4 linked regions of the Arabidopsis thaliana genome follow. The protein of the gene in region 4 interacts with the protein of the main gene of each other region in a pairwise test. Each region holds a gene or a part of one and is shown on either strand. Other genes may lie near its edges. The genes, in order: AT5G65910, IAA2, AT1G43000 and MYB39.

The links.
Region 1: the proteins of MYB39 (region 4) and AT5G65910 interact in a two-hybrid assay, tested with the Arabidopsis thaliana proteins (one large-scale study listed by BioGRID).
Region 2: the proteins of MYB39 (region 4) and IAA2 interact in a two-hybrid assay, tested with the Arabidopsis thaliana proteins (one large-scale study listed by BioGRID).
Region 3: the proteins of MYB39 (region 4) and AT1G43000 interact in a two-hybrid assay, tested with the Arabidopsis thaliana proteins (one large-scale study listed by BioGRID).

What each region holds. Positions count from the first base shown.
Region 1 is NC_003076.8:26,360,611-26,365,550, reverse strand, and holds AT5G65910 (BSD domain-containing protein), read left to right. Parts: upstream 1-2,062; 5' UTR 2,063-2,209; coding exon 2,210-2,738; intron 2,739-2,895; coding exon 2,896-3,083; intron 3,084-3,377; coding exon 3,378-3,959; 3' UTR 3,960-4,131; downstream 4,132-4,940. Other genes in the region: AT5G65920 (ARM repeat superfamily protein), read left to right, coding at 1-1,228; AT5G65900 (DEA(D/H)-box RNA helicase family protein), read right to left, coding at 4,307-4,462, 4,578-4,703, 4,787-4,855.
Region 2 is NC_003074.8:8,179,770-8,183,751, forward strand, and holds IAA2 (indole-3-acetic acid inducible 2), read right to left. Parts: upstream 2,327-3,982; 5' UTR 2,178-2,326; coding exon 1,744-2,177; intron 1,652-1,743; coding exon 1,300-1,651; 3' UTR 877-1,299; downstream 1-876. UniProt on the Arabidopsis thaliana protein: Aux/IAA proteins are short-lived transcriptional factors that function as repressors of early auxin response genes at low auxin concentrations.
Region 3 is NC_003070.9:16,138,640-16,142,659, forward strand, and holds AT1G43000 (PLATZ transcription factor family protein), read left to right. Parts: upstream 1-1,886; 5' UTR 1,887-2,075; coding exon 2,076-2,078; intron 2,079-2,158; coding exon 2,159-2,362; intron 2,363-2,466; coding exon 2,467-2,682; intron 2,683-2,767; coding exon 2,768-3,016; 3' UTR 3,017-3,153; downstream 3,154-4,020.
Region 4 is NC_003075.7:9,880,961-9,885,394, forward strand, and holds MYB39 (myb domain protein 39), read right to left. Parts: upstream 2,473-4,434; 5' UTR 2,409-2,472; coding exon 2,143-2,408; intron 1,808-2,142; coding exon 1,028-1,807; coding exon of another isoform or gene 1,024-1,027; exon of another isoform or gene 944-1,023; coding exon 907-943; 3' UTR 639-906; downstream 1-638. Other genes in the region: AT4G17780 (F-box and associated interaction domains-containing protein), read right to left, coding at 1-495.

The sequences.
Region 1 (4,940 bases), on a different chromosome or scaffold from region 4:
GGTGGTTGTTACCGATGAGAAGAAGAAATTGGATTTGAAGGAGATGATTTCTGAGCTGGAATTACCTGAAATACCCTCTGTTTTCATCTGTCCTATCTCTCTAGAGCCGATGCAAGATCCAGTGACCTTGTGTACTGGTCAAACCTACGAGAGGTCCAACATTCTCAAATGGTTCAATATAGGGCATTGTACTTGCCCAACGACGATGCAAGAGCTTTGGGATGATTTGGTCACTCCTAACAAGACTCTTCACCAATTGATCTACACTTGGTTTTCACAGAAGTATGTTTTGATGAAGAAACGATCTGAAGATGTGCAAGGACGTGCTATTGAGATTCTGGGTACGTTGAGAAAGGCTAAAGGGAAAGCAAAGGTTCATGCTTTAAGCGAGCTTAAGCAAGTTGTGATGGCTCACGCTATTGCTAAGAAGACTGTTGTTGATGAAGGTGGAGTCTTTGTGATCTCTTCTCTTTTAAGTCCTTTTACTTCTCACGCTGTTGGATCTGAGGCTATAGCTATTCTTGTTAATCTTGAGCTTGACTCTGATTCCAAAGCTGGATTGATGCAACCAGCTAGGGTCTCGTTGATGGTTGATATGTTGAATGATGGTTCGATTGAAACTAAGATCAATTGTGCTAGATTGATTGGAAGGTTGGTGGAGGAGAAAGGTTTTAGAGCAGAGCTTGTTTCTAGTCATAGTTTGCTTGTTGGATTAATGAGATTGGTTAAAGATAGGAGACGAAGAAACGGCGTTTCGCCTGCGTTAACGCTGCTCAAATCGGTTTCTGTTCATAAACAAGTTAGGAACTTGTTGGTTAGGATTGGTGCAGTTCCTCAATTGGTTGATGTTTTGCCATGTTTGGATGTGGAGTGTTTAGAGTCAGCTCTTTTCGTGTTGGATTCGTTATGTTTAGAAAGCGAAGGCAGAATTGCTTTGAAAGATTCGGTTAACACGATTCCGCATACCGTTAGGTTACTGATGAAGGTATCAGAGAAATGCACAAACTATGCGATATCGATTCTTTGGTCAGTTTGCAAATTAGCTTCTGAAGAATGTTCATCTCTTGCTGTTGAAGTTGGTTTGGCTGCAAAGCTTTTGCTTGTGATACAAAGTGGATGTGATCCAGCTTTGAAGCAACGTTCAGCTGAGCTATTGAAGTTATGTAGTCTACATTATTCAGACTCAATGTTTATCTCCAAATGTAAACTCACAAGAACTATCCAATAAAAGACTGATCAAGTTTTCACCTTTCGGGTCAAAATCACACAACGGATCTGCCCCATCTTGTTGATGTATATAGAAATGAAGAAGCTCAAGGAGTATGAGAGTAAGAAACGAGTTTCGATGTGTTGAATTCTATTTTGCAATGTTATTTGAATAATAATAGTTAAGTAGAAGTAAACTGTATAAATCTTTTTGTTGTGGTTGGTTCATTATTCAGTAGAAGAATAGATTGAAGAAAGGAATCATTTTTTTGGCCTCTTGTAAGTTACTAGCTGTTTGTGAGTCATAATAATTGGAGAAATTATTGATCTATGAATCGTTTTATTTGACACTCTTATAACCCTTAGTGATTCTTGATAGAACAGTAGGATTAGAAAACAGATATGGGTGGGTTTCAGATTTGTGGAGGGGAATAAAAGTCTTATTTTTTGAACATGCATTGGTCTGATTTGTATGCACTGTGTAAATGAATGAACAATTGAAAAGAAAGGATGATTTGACTTATGAATCGTTTCAACAGTTCACTGTTTGTTTATCTCTGTTTTTTATTTAATTGGCTATGAGAATCTGAACATATCTCTTGGAAACATTGTATCAGTGAGTGTGATGTCACTGATGTGAGAGCTCTTGTCTGGAAATAAAATCTAAACACAGTTACCAAATCTGGAAAACAATTTGTCTCAAGTTAGAAAAAATAAAATATAAATAATTTCCCGAATAGGAGCTATCTTAAGATGGGCCTTAGTTGAACTATATGGGCTATTATCCAGGTCCAGTAATATTTTGACAGTCAATACAAAATGTCGTCTTTGGCTCTAAATTGGATTAAGCTATTAAGTAAGATAAAGATTACAATATTTAAATTAGATATTGATTTAGACGGAGATTTCATTATCTATCTCTCAAGTTTGATTTGCTTCTGCTGTAACAAAAAGATCACGATCGCAACTTGTGTGTATGTGTGTGTGAGAGAGAGATTCAGATATGGCTTGGTTAGCTAGATCCATAGCGAACTCACTCAAGCTCGATGAGGAAGATGAAGATGATGATAAGCATCTGAATCAACAGCCGTCGGAATCTGTATCGGATTCACAGTCTCCACGAGGCGTTAAGGAAGACATTAGCGAACTTACCAAGACCTTGAGAACCCAATTTTGGGGTGTAGCTTCGTTCCTCTCGCAACCTTCTTCATCTCCGGATCTTCAGGAGAGAAATCAAACTCCCGATCATCCGGAGGAAGATGAGGATCTAATCGCTGGGATTAAGAACGATTTCGCTGAGATTGGTGGGAGATTCAGGACTGGGATTTCGAAACTATCTGGGAACTTACCTGTGTCTGAGTTCACAAAGATCGCTTCGAATTTCTTACAATTGAGTTCAGAAGATGTGGATCCGAAAGATTACGACGTAATCGGAGTTACAGAGGAATTAGTTGCGTTTGTGAAGGATCTTGCGATGCATCCTGAGACTTGGTTGGATTTTCCTTTACCTGATGACGACGATAGCTTTGATGGTAAGTTTTAGTTTCAGATCTTTCCTTATATATCTGAAATTGTTTCTGTGAATAGTGAAGTTCAAGTTTGATTTTGTTTTCAGTTTATATGCTTTCATGATTGGGGTATTGGGTGTTTCAGTTATTCTCAATTGTCTGTTTTTAAATCAATTTTCAGACTTTGAATTGGCCGATGCTCAATACGAGCACGCTTTAGCTGTAGAAAGGCTAGCACCGAGCTTGGCTTCTTTGAGGATTGAGCTTTGCCCTGAATATATGACTGAGAATTGCTTCTGGAGGATTTACTTTGTTCTTGTGCATCCTAAACTCAGTAAAGACCATGCCTTGCTTCTCTCCACTCCTCAGGTAAGTTTGGATTCTCAACTCCATTGCTTACAAATGTCTACCTATTTCCTTGTTTTCAAGTTTATGCCTTTCACATTGTATATAGTTGTAACCCTATGCCTGATGCTAATCATACTCTTCTAGAAAGTTATATGGTAATCCAAAACAGTGATCCTCATAAGTGAAGAGTTGTAGCATGTCAATCAGGTTTGCTAGATTTGTAAGCTTCTAGGTGGTGCTACTTCAGGTTTCCTGCGATAAAGTTAGATCATTTATTGTTCCTGTCACTAATTTTTTTTGCCTTTGCTTATGAAGGTACTCGAAGCAAGATCAATGTTATCTCAGGAACTACAGAAACGAAGCAAATTACCTGTAGAAGCAGGGAGTTCTGAAGCTAATACTGTCATTGTGGAACCTCTTACTGTGCCTCCTTCACCAGAAACAGCAGCTGTTAAAATCGTAAATCCAGTCGAGTCATCTGACGTTGAAACAGACAAGCACCCTATTGAGAGCAAAGAGATACAAATTGTTGACAAATCTGTCATTGAAGAAAGAAGCACATCCACTGCTTCTTCATCTAGATTTATTAATGTGCAAGTGGATGATGAAGACGACGACGATGCAGATGATTGGTTGAATGATGAAGAGACTTCATCAGTTAGCGCCATTGGAGGAAGATCAACCACAAATCATCCTTTTGGTGAAGACGAAGAAGATGTATCATTCAGTGATCTAGAAGAAGAAGACGATAACGAAGGAGACGTGAAAGTGAGTTACAAGAACCTTACTAACTCTGGTTCTGATTCTTCAGACAAAAAATCACCAGATTGGGTTCAGCTAAAAGAGGTAAAAGAGAAGAAAAAATCAAACGACTGGCTTGATGTTGATGCAGTGTGATGTGATCTCCAATGTTTCTTTTGGCAATATATAACATTTAAATCTACGTCTTGCAAATATCTGATGCTACCGAAATTTGTTGTGAATAATTTTTATATTCCATTTTATCAAAACCTATATAGCCGTAGTAAAAAAAACTGCAATGTTTATATATAAGACCAAGTTTATTCGCAAAACAAAATGATCAATATTTCTAAGTAACGGGGACAAAACTGGTATCTCGTCTGATATCTCTGGAAACAGCTTAAGACAACACAATCGTAAATGAATCCAAAAATAAGATACAACATTCGTTAAAAGGCATGTGCCATACTACTAAGTATGACGTTGTTTGTGCAACTGTATTTTTAGTACCTCTCGAACTTGCTTTTACCGCCGGGTCTACCACCACCACGACCTCTCTTAAACTTATTAACCGGTTCTCTCTTACTTCTGTACCCTCCTCGATCTATCTTCAGAGCAACTTTGGGAGGATCTGAGAAACCAAACGAAGTCGCAACCTCCTGCACATAAACAAAGACCTTCGGTTAACGTTTAAATTGCAGAAAACAAAAACAAATTGTATTCCTGATTTCATGACGTTTCGTATTGTTATATGTATGCTGCAGATTTGGTTACCGTGAGATTGAGTTGGTGAACATTAAAGACATCTTTCATAGAGTGAGAATCATATCCTGAAATGTATGTCTTGTATGCTTCTTTTGCTGACTCCTTCAATGCATAGTTTTCAGATATCAAATTCTCCTGCAATAACATTTTAAATAAATCTCTCAACTTTTGTTTCTTCAGTGTAGTAAAACTTATTTGAAAGAGCAAGAATGTTTTACCACAAAAGGTTTCACATCGAGCAATTTCTTTTCTTCAAATTCATGTTCCTCAACAGGAATTTTCGCCGCCTGCAAATTATACAGTTGGAAACAGATTCTTTTATCAAAATTTCTATAATTTGAAAAATTATCAAAGTTTTTATTGAATGAAAAT
Region 2 (3,982 bases), on a different chromosome or scaffold from region 4:
ATTCACTAGAGAAAAGGAAAAGAATTTGCACCGCCAATTGCGACGAAGGTGGTATATACTTCTCCGGCGAACGTGATTCTCTGTAAAATTCTGACGAGATTTTTTTCTGGCGTTGTTGCTAATGGATAAAATTGCGCGCGCAAAGGTCCTTTGTCCGATTGGAAAGAGAATACATTTGAGGATTAAATTGATAATTTCGTAATAGTTTAAGCCCTTAAAGGAAATAAAAAGCTGTAAACTCCTGAAGTTTTATTTATTTATAGAAAACAACTCTTTATATATTTGATTTCCAAATAATCCCAAAACCTTGATCATATGCACATAAGAACCCTATTAGAAGAGAAATGATTTTTTATTACTTGGTTCACATAATGAAAAAAACATACTTGAAAACTAGTCATTGGCGTTCGGTATTTTGGTTCAGTTCCGGTTCGAGAACTTCCCATGAGCCCTTTTGTAGTCTAAAAATCTATAATCTTAAATTGTGTTTTATTAATATTATTATGTTTTTATGTAATATTAATAACCTTTACCCTAGAAAAACTAATATTATTTTCTCAGTTTTATTATATTAAATTGTGTTTTTCAATTTCATATGTTATCAGACTTATATTATTATGTAATATTTTTTTACAATTGGTTGAATTGTTTAGGTTAGATATTAATTTCTGTTTTTAATATAACAAAATTATTACATAATAATTCTTGCAGTTTAGCTAAAACATCTAATAAGCTGAAGAGACAGAGTCATTTACAATTCATCAAAAAGAAAAATTGTTTTTGAAATCTTTTGATCGACAAGGCCTATCTATAGAATTGTGGATGTGTTTTGGGAAGGCATTATAGAAAATTTGTCTCATGTGGTGGTAAATGTTTTGCTGAATAAGTAAATAATAACCTTGGTTAAACTTTAAACAAAAAAAAAAGTTAATAAATAACCTTGGCTAAACAAATGTGTATAAGTTTCTGAAATTTAAAATATTATGTTCGTGATCAAGAACAGAAAACTGATGATCTTATAGGACATAACTACTTAATACATTATACATCTATAGATTGTGTATGTGTCCGTATTATACATAAAATCTCATGTATCTTTACATCAAACTTCAAATCTAAATACAAAAACAAAAAGAACATCACTAGAGATGGATCTCTCGTCGGACAAAACCCCGAAGTTTCGTCTTTCACGGTCAACTTTAGTCAAACTCCGATCCGAATCAAACCAAAAAGGGTTTTTCATTCATCGATCATAGTCATCATCTCCTTTTTAGACAAAAGATTCTCAGCTTCTCTGGATCATAAGGAAGAGTCTAGAGCAGGAGCGTCGGATCCCTTCATGATTCTGAGTCTCTTACAAGAAGAAGAGAACATGTCCCATGGAACATCACCAACCAACATCCAGTCACCATCTTTATCTTCGTATGTTGGTACAAATCCAGATCCTTTGTATCCTTCTCTCTCACAATATTCACCAATCATGACTTTGAACATATTCTCTAACGCTTTGAGAAGCTCGGGGTAGTTTTTGTATGTCTTGAGATCGATCTTGCGAAGGTAAGGAGCTCCGTCCATACTCACTTTCACGTAGCTCACACTGTTGTTGTTCTTACGGGAAGATCTCACTGGTGGCCAACCAACGATTTGAGTTCTGTAAATTTGAGGAAAGAAAGATTAGTAAAACTATTCAAGAGCCAATAATTTGAAAGAAGCCAATTTGAAACTCAGATCTCTTCTACTTACTTGGTAGGAGGTGTAGATTCTTCTTCATCACGAGTTTCCTCAAATAGACGCTTGTTGTTACTTTTAACGCAAGAAACCTCTTGTTCTTCTTTGATCTTCTCTGTTCTTCCGGGTAATCCAAGACATAGCTCTGTGTCCTTAAGGTTAAGCTCGTTGACTTTCTCGTACGCCATTGCTTTTGGATCAATATCAATCTTTGTGTTTCCTTCTTGTGTGTTTTCTTGGGTACTTTGTTCTTCTTGTCTTGTTCTTCTTCTTCTTGTTCTTGTTCTTGGTGAGCTGGTTGATGAGTTTTGGAGAAAAGGGGAGAGAGATATATATAAAGGAGCATCGAAGTTAGGGTTAAAGGAAGAGAGAGAAGTGTTGTCGGAAGCATGAAAGGCAAGAAAGAGGCAAGGGGACAAAAGTGGGACACGAAGCTTGAGGCCGCCCATGTGGACACGACTCTTTTGTTTAATTATTCCACGCTCCTCTTTTCCCTCCGCCAACTTTGTTTACGTTAACATCTTAGCCGTCCATCTCTATTGCCTCTTCTTTTTCTTTCAAAGGATGTATAATAATTATAACGAAAGAATATAAAAATGAATGAAATGATGAGAATTCTATCGGCCGACCCGGAATAAAAGCAAACAGAGAAAATATAAATAAAGTAAAGACTAAAGAGGTGTATTATAATAACATTTATTTACTGTTTCTTAAAGGTTTCTTCTTCTCTTTTTGAAAGTGTATAGTGCAGGTTATAAAGAAAATATCAAGTGCTAATGATTGTTAATCCATTTGTTGCATAATAGATATTCTTAATATATATTTAAATATAATGTGTTGTCTTAAAATTTGATGTGAAAGTTGATTATTATTTTTAGTTTACTTCTATTGATTTATTAATTTTTAACTTAAAAGATTAATAGATGTTTTGAAAGTATGATGTAAAAATTTCGATTCAGAAGAAAAAACGTATGGTGTAAAAAATGGTTAAAAGGACACTTATGTCAAATAAAGTACTATTTTATTGAATCCTGATTCCAAAATGAAGATTATTTAGAGTTTCCAAGTACTCTTATGTGTTACGAACTATTGAATGTGCATAAGTTGAATTTTATCATTTTTGCTCGTAGATGTAATTTGATTAATAAAGAAATATTAGTTTTATGGTTAAATCTCAGATAATATCGAATATTAAACGTTACATATTTGTCTTGCGAAGACATATTTATGCGTGGCATTTTGTATATTGTGAGTTGGAAAATGTTATAACATTTTGTGTGTAGATTTTGATTTTATAATAGGAGACGAAGACCCATGTGGATAAGGGTCAAATGTGTTGGTAATTGATAGAGGAATGGTAAAGCCATGTGCTTTCTTATGTGTATGTCTCTTTTAATTATTCATTTCCCTTCAAAATGGGTTGTGGGGGAGAGAGGTTCCACGTGCTATGTATTCATTGAATCATAAAACTTAAAAGAATGAACCAAAAAGTGGTAATTAATTTCTCCCCATAGATTACGCTTAACTATGTGCATTTAGCTTCTAATCCGCATGCGATTTGATGTTAACGTTAGGCTTTATTCAATGGATTTACCAATTTTGGATATTATTTGTTTTCTCTTCTTTTAAGATAAAGATTCCTTCTATGTTCTTGCCCCTTCCATCACCAAAAGATTAGATAAGTAAAAGCGATGCAAGATACGTTGCCTCTCTTCTTATAAGTAAATAATTTAGAGGTTCTGATTGTCAGAGTTTTATGTATTATTTCCAGTTAATAACGAACTCATGCAATGTATTTTCTCACAAACTGAGAGATGCACGAATGAATACCATTTGTCTGTTAAATATTGCACGAATGAATACTAAAGGTTAACCATTTACAGATTTCTAGAATCACTTAACATGGTGGGAAACAAACTTCTTGAGAATAGTTTTTTCCTGTTTGTGTGTTCATGCATGTTTTAGTCTTAGTGAAAATGTATTATAGAAACATAACTACTAGATCTATGTGATGCTTTATGCTTATATAGATGATTGCTAAAGTTATTTGTTGGTTAAACTAAACCTTTTTACTGAAAACCATTTAAGAAAGTACAAGAGAATTCAGTTACTGTTTATTATGGAGTTAATTCCATGAATATATATTGAACATTAAGTTTTGCCTAAAAAACAATATTGAACTTAAGCCAAATACATAAATCATTTTTAGATTATTTTGGTCTCTGTGGTCAATTTAATGTATTAATTTATGTAC
Region 3 (4,020 bases), on a different chromosome or scaffold from region 4:
TGTTTTACGATGAAAATTATTTCAAGATTGTGTGAATAATTACACTTTTTCAAAAAGTACTTAAAAAGTAGTTTAACATTAAAAGCAGTTGATGATTATATATTTTTCAATAAAATGTTAAATTATATTTTAAAAAAAGTAGATAAAGTGCAATTTCAATTAGAAACGAATAGAAGACAAGTTTTAAACACCAATAGAAATATTAAAAAGCTAGATGATGTTAGTTTTAACTTCTGGACAAAAACCAAATTTGGAGGTCGTATCTCTTGTCCCCAAGAAGTCTGATTGATGAGATTTGATTTTGGACTTGCTTATCAACCGAACTTGTCAATAATAGCATTAGTAATTATAATTTTAGTAACACATTATTTACATTAATTATAATTTTAGGACAATTGTATTAACCTGACTTGTGATCTAATGACGTGGTTCATAAAGTCACTTATCGAAAGTTAATAGTGTATATTTTCTATGATATAGTTCTTTTATAATGCTAATTAAATACCTATGAAGAAATATAAGGATTGCAAATTTTGTAATTAAACTAATAGAGAGGACTCTAACAAAGCTATTTAACTACGTAAAGCATATATTTCCTTTTGTATATTACTTTTTTGTTTGTATGTAAGCGGGAATACTTACCACATGTACTACAATTCCTTGTTCACCAAACTTCAAATAACTTCCCCAACGTCCTAAGTAACATCTTTAAAATTTGAAGAACATGATAGCGAGGGAAACTAAATTCAACGTGAATTTATTTTACTTGGTTTTACTCTACTTTTGTTACTACCAAGGTGAATTTGATTTAAACCTAGTTCAAAGTCACTTTTTTCTAGCCTAGCTCAAATTATATAAATTGTGCAATGTTGTAATTGTCCTAGTCTAATTATCATCACGTTTTTTAAATTTTAGTATTGATTTCACATGTCTTAATTTTAAATTTTATTTGATGATATATTATTTGACATAGTATAAATTTCTTTTTAACACGCGTTAAAAGCAATAATTTTCTTAAAAATATTTAACCAAATTTAGCTTGTATTATACAAAAATAAAATGAGTAATATCACTACCTAACTATACTTTAGGTTTTTATTATCAAAATTTATATATGACATTTTATTATCAAAATCTATATATGACATTTTGTACATATAGTGGTTCATTTCTCACACAAGTTCTTTTAAATTTATTTTAAATTTAGTATAGATTTCACGTAACGGTTTTAAGAAGATATTCCTATTTTGTTTGACTATATTATTTGATATAATATCACTTTCTTTTTGACACGCGTCAAAAATAATAATTTCCATTAAAATCATTTGACCACTTTTAACTCTTGTTGGATTATCTACCAAATATAATTGATGTTATATAGCTATTTTATATCAAAGTCATTTTTTGGAAAAACAGGGGCTTTTAGTTAAATAAAAAAACTAGAGGACCTATAAGTAAAAATATTATAATATATAATAACATAAAAAGATAAGTAATTAACATGAGTACTATGAAAAAAAATCACACAAGCAATAAGAATTAGTAAATCATTTGTCAATCATGGTATTAATAACACATTATTTACATAAATTTTATTTTTCTTATATCTAACACGCGTCAGAAAAGATAACTGTTGTCAATATATTTATTTTACTAATTTTAACAAATAATTTATTATCTACCAAATAAAATGACAACAAAATAAAAATCTAGATCTAAATACAGCAAACCAAATAAAACCAAAGCAAAATTGATGAGAAAAAATGCTCTTTTTCACAAAACTAGGGGGTTTTGAGATTATAAAATAAATAAAGAGTCTAAATGTAAAGTTATTATAACAATATGGAAGAAAATATAAATAAAAATAAGTAACAAAAAGTAAAAAAGGCCGACCTTTTCAGTGTCTTATAAATTTCTCCATCGTCTTCTTCTTCTTCTTCTTCTTCGTCTTCTCTCTGTAAACCCCCACACAAACCTGTGGCCGCTATATTCTCCATTTTCTCAGTAACCATCTCTGTTTTTTTCTCTGTTTCTCAGATTAAGTTTCGTGTGTCAAACAGATCAAAACCCAAACAATGGTTATTCCTCTGTTTTTTTCAGAATTTTTCAATCGATGTTATTTTATAGAAATTGATTCATGGGTCTGTGTTATTTTCAGGTGAGTTCCATTGTAAAAATGGAGAACGACGACGTAATGACTCCGCCATGGCTAACACCAATGCTTCGAGCTGATTACTTCGTGACTTGTTCGATTCATTCACAATCGAGTAAAAGTGAATGTAATCTGTTTTGTTTGGATTGTTCAGGCAATGCCTTTTGTTCTTCTTGTCTCGCTCATCACAGAACCCATCGTGTTATCCAGGTTTGGTTTTCAATTTTTCATTACCCATCTATCTCTCAGGAATTTTGTCGAACACGTTTGTTTAATGAACCTAATTCTATGTTTTTTTTTTGTTGTTGTTACAGATTCGACGATCGTCGTATCATAATGTGGTGAGAGTGAGTGAGATTCAAAAACATATTGATATCTCTTGTATTCAGACTTATGTTATCAATAGTGCTAAGATCTTCTTCTTAAACGCGAGACCTCAATGTCGAACTGGTAAAAGCTTAAACAAAACATGTCAGATCTGTTCTCGTAACCTTCTCGATTCGTTCCTGTTCTGTTCTCTTGCTTGTAAGGTAAATGCTGCAATGTTGTGGTCTTTCTTCAAACTCAAGTTTGATTATATAGGTTTCTTGATTGTTTCTTATTGGTCTAAAATAGCTTGAAGGTGTGAAGAATGGAGAGGATCCAAACCTGACTTTATTTCATAGTGGAAAGAGTGATGACTCGTCGAAGATCATCAATACCGGGATTTGTAGCCGTTTGATCGACGGGATCTCGATTGCGGTTGACGACCAACGCAGCGAAACCGCGGGTGTGTTATCTCCAGAGACACCTTCAATAGAAAGCCACCGGAATTACCCAATGAAGAGTAGAAGAAAGGGTATACCTCAACGAGCACCTTTCTAAAAGGCTTTATGAAAGAGTTAAGATATAAGATAGAATATGGGAAGGATCAGAAAAGAGAAAACAAAAAGTGTTGGTAAATGACTAATGAGTAAATGGAATCATCTTACATAAATAGTAGCAAGCTTAATGATTATAAGAGTACAGAACAAAAGTGTGATTTTTTCATAGATATTGGGTTATAAATATATGATTTTAAACAGCCTTATTTACCTCACTTTTGTCTCTTTAATTATTTTTTATAGCACTATCATCTATTTTTATGATTTGGAAAAATAAAATTTTAAAATGTCACATCACATTTACAAAACATGGAGATGTAAAAATACATATTTGTATATTTATAGGAGATTCCTTCATGGTCTTTTGAATGTTCATTTTAGCTTAAAAAGTGAGAGAGTGAGTTGGCATTTATGGAGGGGATATGTGAAAAGTATGGTATAAAATAAGCTTGGTTTAATAAAGAATGGAGAAAGTGTAGTGGTGCGGATTTGTCATACTTTGCCATCAACATTGTTTTTGGGGTTTGGTGAGAGTATCTTATAATTTTTTGGGCAAAGATATATTTCCTTTTGTGGAAGGTAAATCATGTTTTGCTTGTTTACCTCCTTTTAAAGAAAACGATTTAATTTTTTATTTTGCCAAAGGATTTTCATTTTTATTGACTTTGTAGGTTCATATGGTGGACACAAACATATTGGGATTAGCCCATACATTACAAGGCTCATGCCCCATTAAAGATGTCAACTGGGCTGTTCATGTCCAAATGAACAGCCCTATTTTTTGGTCATTATTGGTTTAAGCTAAATGGGATCAAATCCAAATTAGACCAAACCCAAAAAGAACCATAATAAATCAGGCAATCCATGGGTCCAAATCTTATTATATAAAATACAGTTTAGAAAGTTAGTAACTCGCGAGATCATGACATATGGCAAGTATATATATATATATATATAATTATGTTTATTAATCAAAAAAAATTAACAGTACATGTGTTATGATCA
Region 4 (4,434 bases):
CATCTTCACTACTTTATAGCTTCCGGTAACTTTATCTTTACCAAATCCCATTGCCCAATGTCTTGGAGAGAAAGCCGAACCTACTCCAAATATGGTTCCAAATCCGAATCCGTATCGCCGGAGTTGCCTTGTCCAGGGGTTCAAAACGTCTATCCAACGTGGTTCGAGAATGCAGACCAAACCGTCGCAAGTAAACGAGGGTTGTGCGGCGTTGCAGTGCAGATAGACGATCTCTTCGTTCCCTTTGCACTGCGACGACCCGGGGAGGAGCCTAGGCTCCCAGCCGCATTTGCAGTTGTAAGCAGCCAGGATTTTGCGCTTCTTTTGAAGACTCATTCGTCTCTCCACGAACGTCTTCGACTCAAGAATTGATCTCCATCGTTTTGAGACGCTTTTCGATATGAGAATGGATTTCAAGGGAAGTCGAAGGAATATATCTTCTAGAAGATCGGCAACTATGTAGATCGAACTAGGGTTTTTCTCTTCTTCCTCCATTCTTGGTGACTGTTTGTTTTTTGATTTTTTGTCAATCTTTCTGTTAGAAACATCGAGAGATTGACATTTTAATATATTTCCTTATTGGCAAATAGGTGAATTTTTATTAAACTTGTGAATCAAGTTATGTTTCCATAGAGTTGTTTGATTGTATAAATTAGACTGCTCGTAGATATTTATCCAAAATATTGTTATTAAATGGGCAATAATAGAATGGTGATTACAATGTGTTTCTTTACACAACAACCAAACCAAATAAGAACAAATTACAAATAAGAATTCCTTTACAAGAAAATATACAAACTTTAAATCAATATTTAATAACAAACAAAATTAAGAGTATTAATCGAATATCTTTGTGTATGTATTGTCTTTAAAACTATGAGTATACGACCCGAACAAAATCCAGTTCTACCATGGGACAGGTGACGATGTGGGTGACGTTAAGCTGCAGATTAGATAAAACAATTCTGTTAATAAACCATAAATATAAATCATATACTATGTTAATCAATGCGGAGATAGATCTTACTCTAAGAAACTTTTCCAGCAAGAATCACTTGTTTCATCATCAAGAAACTTCTCCCAGTCCTCTAGGAAATCTGAACCGGATGAGTGTTGAGCTGTACTGGGATGGTTCAAACTGGTTGTCTCGGGAGAGACCGATACCGAACCAGTAGATGGGGTTTCTAGTAGTTGATCACCATAGTAACACGGCATCATACCGGTTCTGATATGATCATTTACCTTGGTGGTCGTACTGGTACCCGGTTTTGCTGTATTTAAACTCTCTTGAGAAACCGTAACCAAACCAGGAAGCTGGTTATCTTCAAAACCATCCCAAACATTTTCATAAGATGGAATGAAATCCGAGGCGGCCTCAGGAGTGATTCCACTTTGGTTTATGAAAAGACCAGCCGGGGGATCCGGTTTAGGATTCACTGAATTGGTATTGAAGCTATTGACTACCGGTTCTGGTTTAGGATTCAGTAAATTGGTCTTGAAGCTACTGATGTTTGGTATGGCTTTGGGGGTTATGATTTGAAGCATTTTATGGATCAATTGGAGTTTAAGAATATCTTCCAAAGCGGTGTTATTGTTGAGGAGGTTATTGTTACCAAATTGGCCATTGTTGATTGCTGCCGCGAGCATTTGAGAAACATCGAGGATAGGGCTAAGATCGTTGGTTCTTGGCTCGTGCGTCACTGGATCAATCCCCATTTGCAATAACTTCTTCCTCATATGAGTGTTCCAATAGTTTTTAATTTCATTATCTGTTCTTCCTGGAAGATGACCCGCAATTTTCGACCATCTGTATGGTAAAAATTCGACTCAAACGTTAGTAAAATGAACCAACGAAAACTTAACCTTTTGTATGGTTAGAGAATTATAAACTAAAGTTTAGACTATAGTCTTGAGGATGTGAATTCTATAATAGCAATAATAAACTATGCAATGGTATCCATACGTAAATTTGTTTTTGCACTTTATATTAATTTTAAAAGAACTGAAAATGGTTTATATTTTAAAATTATGAAAAAAACATGTAAACAGGAACACATAATTACGTCTGAAACAAGCGAGACCTAAATCATTTAGTGCTAACAAAATAGCATAAAAGCTTTAACGAAAAAAAAATAGTCTTACTTGTTGCCAAGGAGGGCATGGAGTCTAACGATAGTACTCTCTTCTCCATCGGAAAATTTGCCTCTCCGGATATCAGGCCGGAGATAATTCATCCACCGGAGCCGACAGCTCTTGCCACAGCGGTTAAGTCCAGCGAGCTTAGGAAGCGACCGCCAATTCCCATAACCATTCTCGTTTATATAAGCAGTGAGCTTATCATCTTCTTCTGGCAGCCACGGTCCTTTCTTCACGCCTTTGTCTTGATCGCAACACGGTGATCTTCCCATTTTGTTTATATCAAGAACCAAAACTTATCAGAGGTTTTTGAAGATATGATCTTCGTTTCGTCGCTCCCTACGATTAGGTTTGTATGTATATATAGATGTGAAAAGCAGTCATGACATAACTAAAGTAAAGTTGTGTATGCATTCGTCAGAATTTGGTGTAAATATTATTTTTCATAGTGTGTCATAAGTCTACAATATATGAGTCATTCAATAAATCAGTTAAATAACCAAAATAGTTATAACAAAATCAAGATTAGGTACTGATAATATGATATGTGTCATGGCGTTCGAACTTCGAAGAGTAATTCGTGGGGATGATGTTCAAACAAATAATTTTTATATAAAAGAATACGAATAATTGTTAATGCATTAATGGATTTTGTTATTGTGGGTTAGATGTATAAAATATTTGCCCTAGCTATGTTAGAATAAAATGTTGATATTTCCCTACTAAAATCTTTTTTTTTTGGGACCAAATTTCTTACGCTCTTTTACTTGTAAAACAATCACAAATTATATACTATTTCATAATCTGCAATTCAAACTAATCTTATTGAAATTATGTTATAAAAGAAAGCCACATTTTTCAAAAATTAAACATGCATGTGATCATTTTTGAATATTTCCTATATATGTGTATATTTCTCTATTTAGATTAAAACCTACAAATAAGAATTTCGCATAAATGCATGATTATAAATTAAACTTGTTAACTACTTTTCTTGAAGGGTATATTTAACTAATATTTAATTGAAAAGCAATATTATGTTCTCATTGCAAAGTTCATCAAAATTGGAATCTTGCATTTATCATTATGTGATTGCTTCCACCGCATTCAAAGAATTATCTCTACCTGCTTCAATGTCTCATGGTTGATCAAAGCCTACCCTTTCGCTTCTTCTTCCTCTATTTGAATTCAAACGAAGATTATTATTATTCTCCTTATTGTTACCAAACCGTCGTTTGTGCCTACCATACGTTCTGAATTTCAAGTCACAAAAAATTACCTATGCTATTATCATTTGTTTTTTGTTTAATTGTTTTGTAATTTTTTGTTACGTGAAAATATAAATTTTTTACGTGAAACTCTCTTTAGTATAGGTTATCTCAATTTCTGTTTTATATTATTCGAAAATATACATATGGATTTGGATGATCAAGTTAATACGAGATTTTCGAATTGATTTACTTTGATAAAGGAAATGGATAGCTTTTTTCGATTGACTAATTTAATTAAAGAACTTCTCTCGCGGGTTCCAAACATTAAGTCGATAGCGTGAGGAACACATAAACGAGTAAGTGGATTTTATTAGAAGGTGTAACTATAAAGTTGGTATTATATATTACGTTGTATTATACTATTGGATCTTTGAAAAAATCTTTCATAATAGAATCTTGTTGTCTTCAAAGGAATGAGAAGGATCACGACAAATTAGAAAAAAAACATAAAACGAAATTTCCTACGGTTGGAGAAAATGTTTACTAGTATAATTTAAATAATGAGGTTTAATTTCACTCTCACGGAAGATCTTGTTTACATACTTAATTACTATTTTTTTACCGTTAAATTACTGTTATGGTTTAAAGGGTCAATGTTCAGGCTTGTTTCACATTGTCAAATTAAAACCAAACACTTACCAACTCTCTATTTATCACGTTGACTATTTAAACAGTCGTATATATTAAGGGTTCCATGTAATTAGTAGCACCATATAGTATAAAATTCCTATGCTATATTTATTTGACATTGTCAACGAGTATAGATAAGACAAGCCTTAAAATTCTATGTAATGTTATTGTTACGCGGCTTACGCAACAGATACATAGTCGTCAATTTGTAATTCAATGGCTGCTTCACTCTTTCGGTCTCTGTAGCTAAAATTGACTTCCGAATTCAAATGAGTTCATAACATTGTATAAACTTTCAGTCTAGATCGGTTATCTTTTTTCTTGTTTGGATTTTTGTTCCTACTCTTGAACATCTTTGGAAACCGATCGATCTTTGAATTATAAACTTGCACCATAT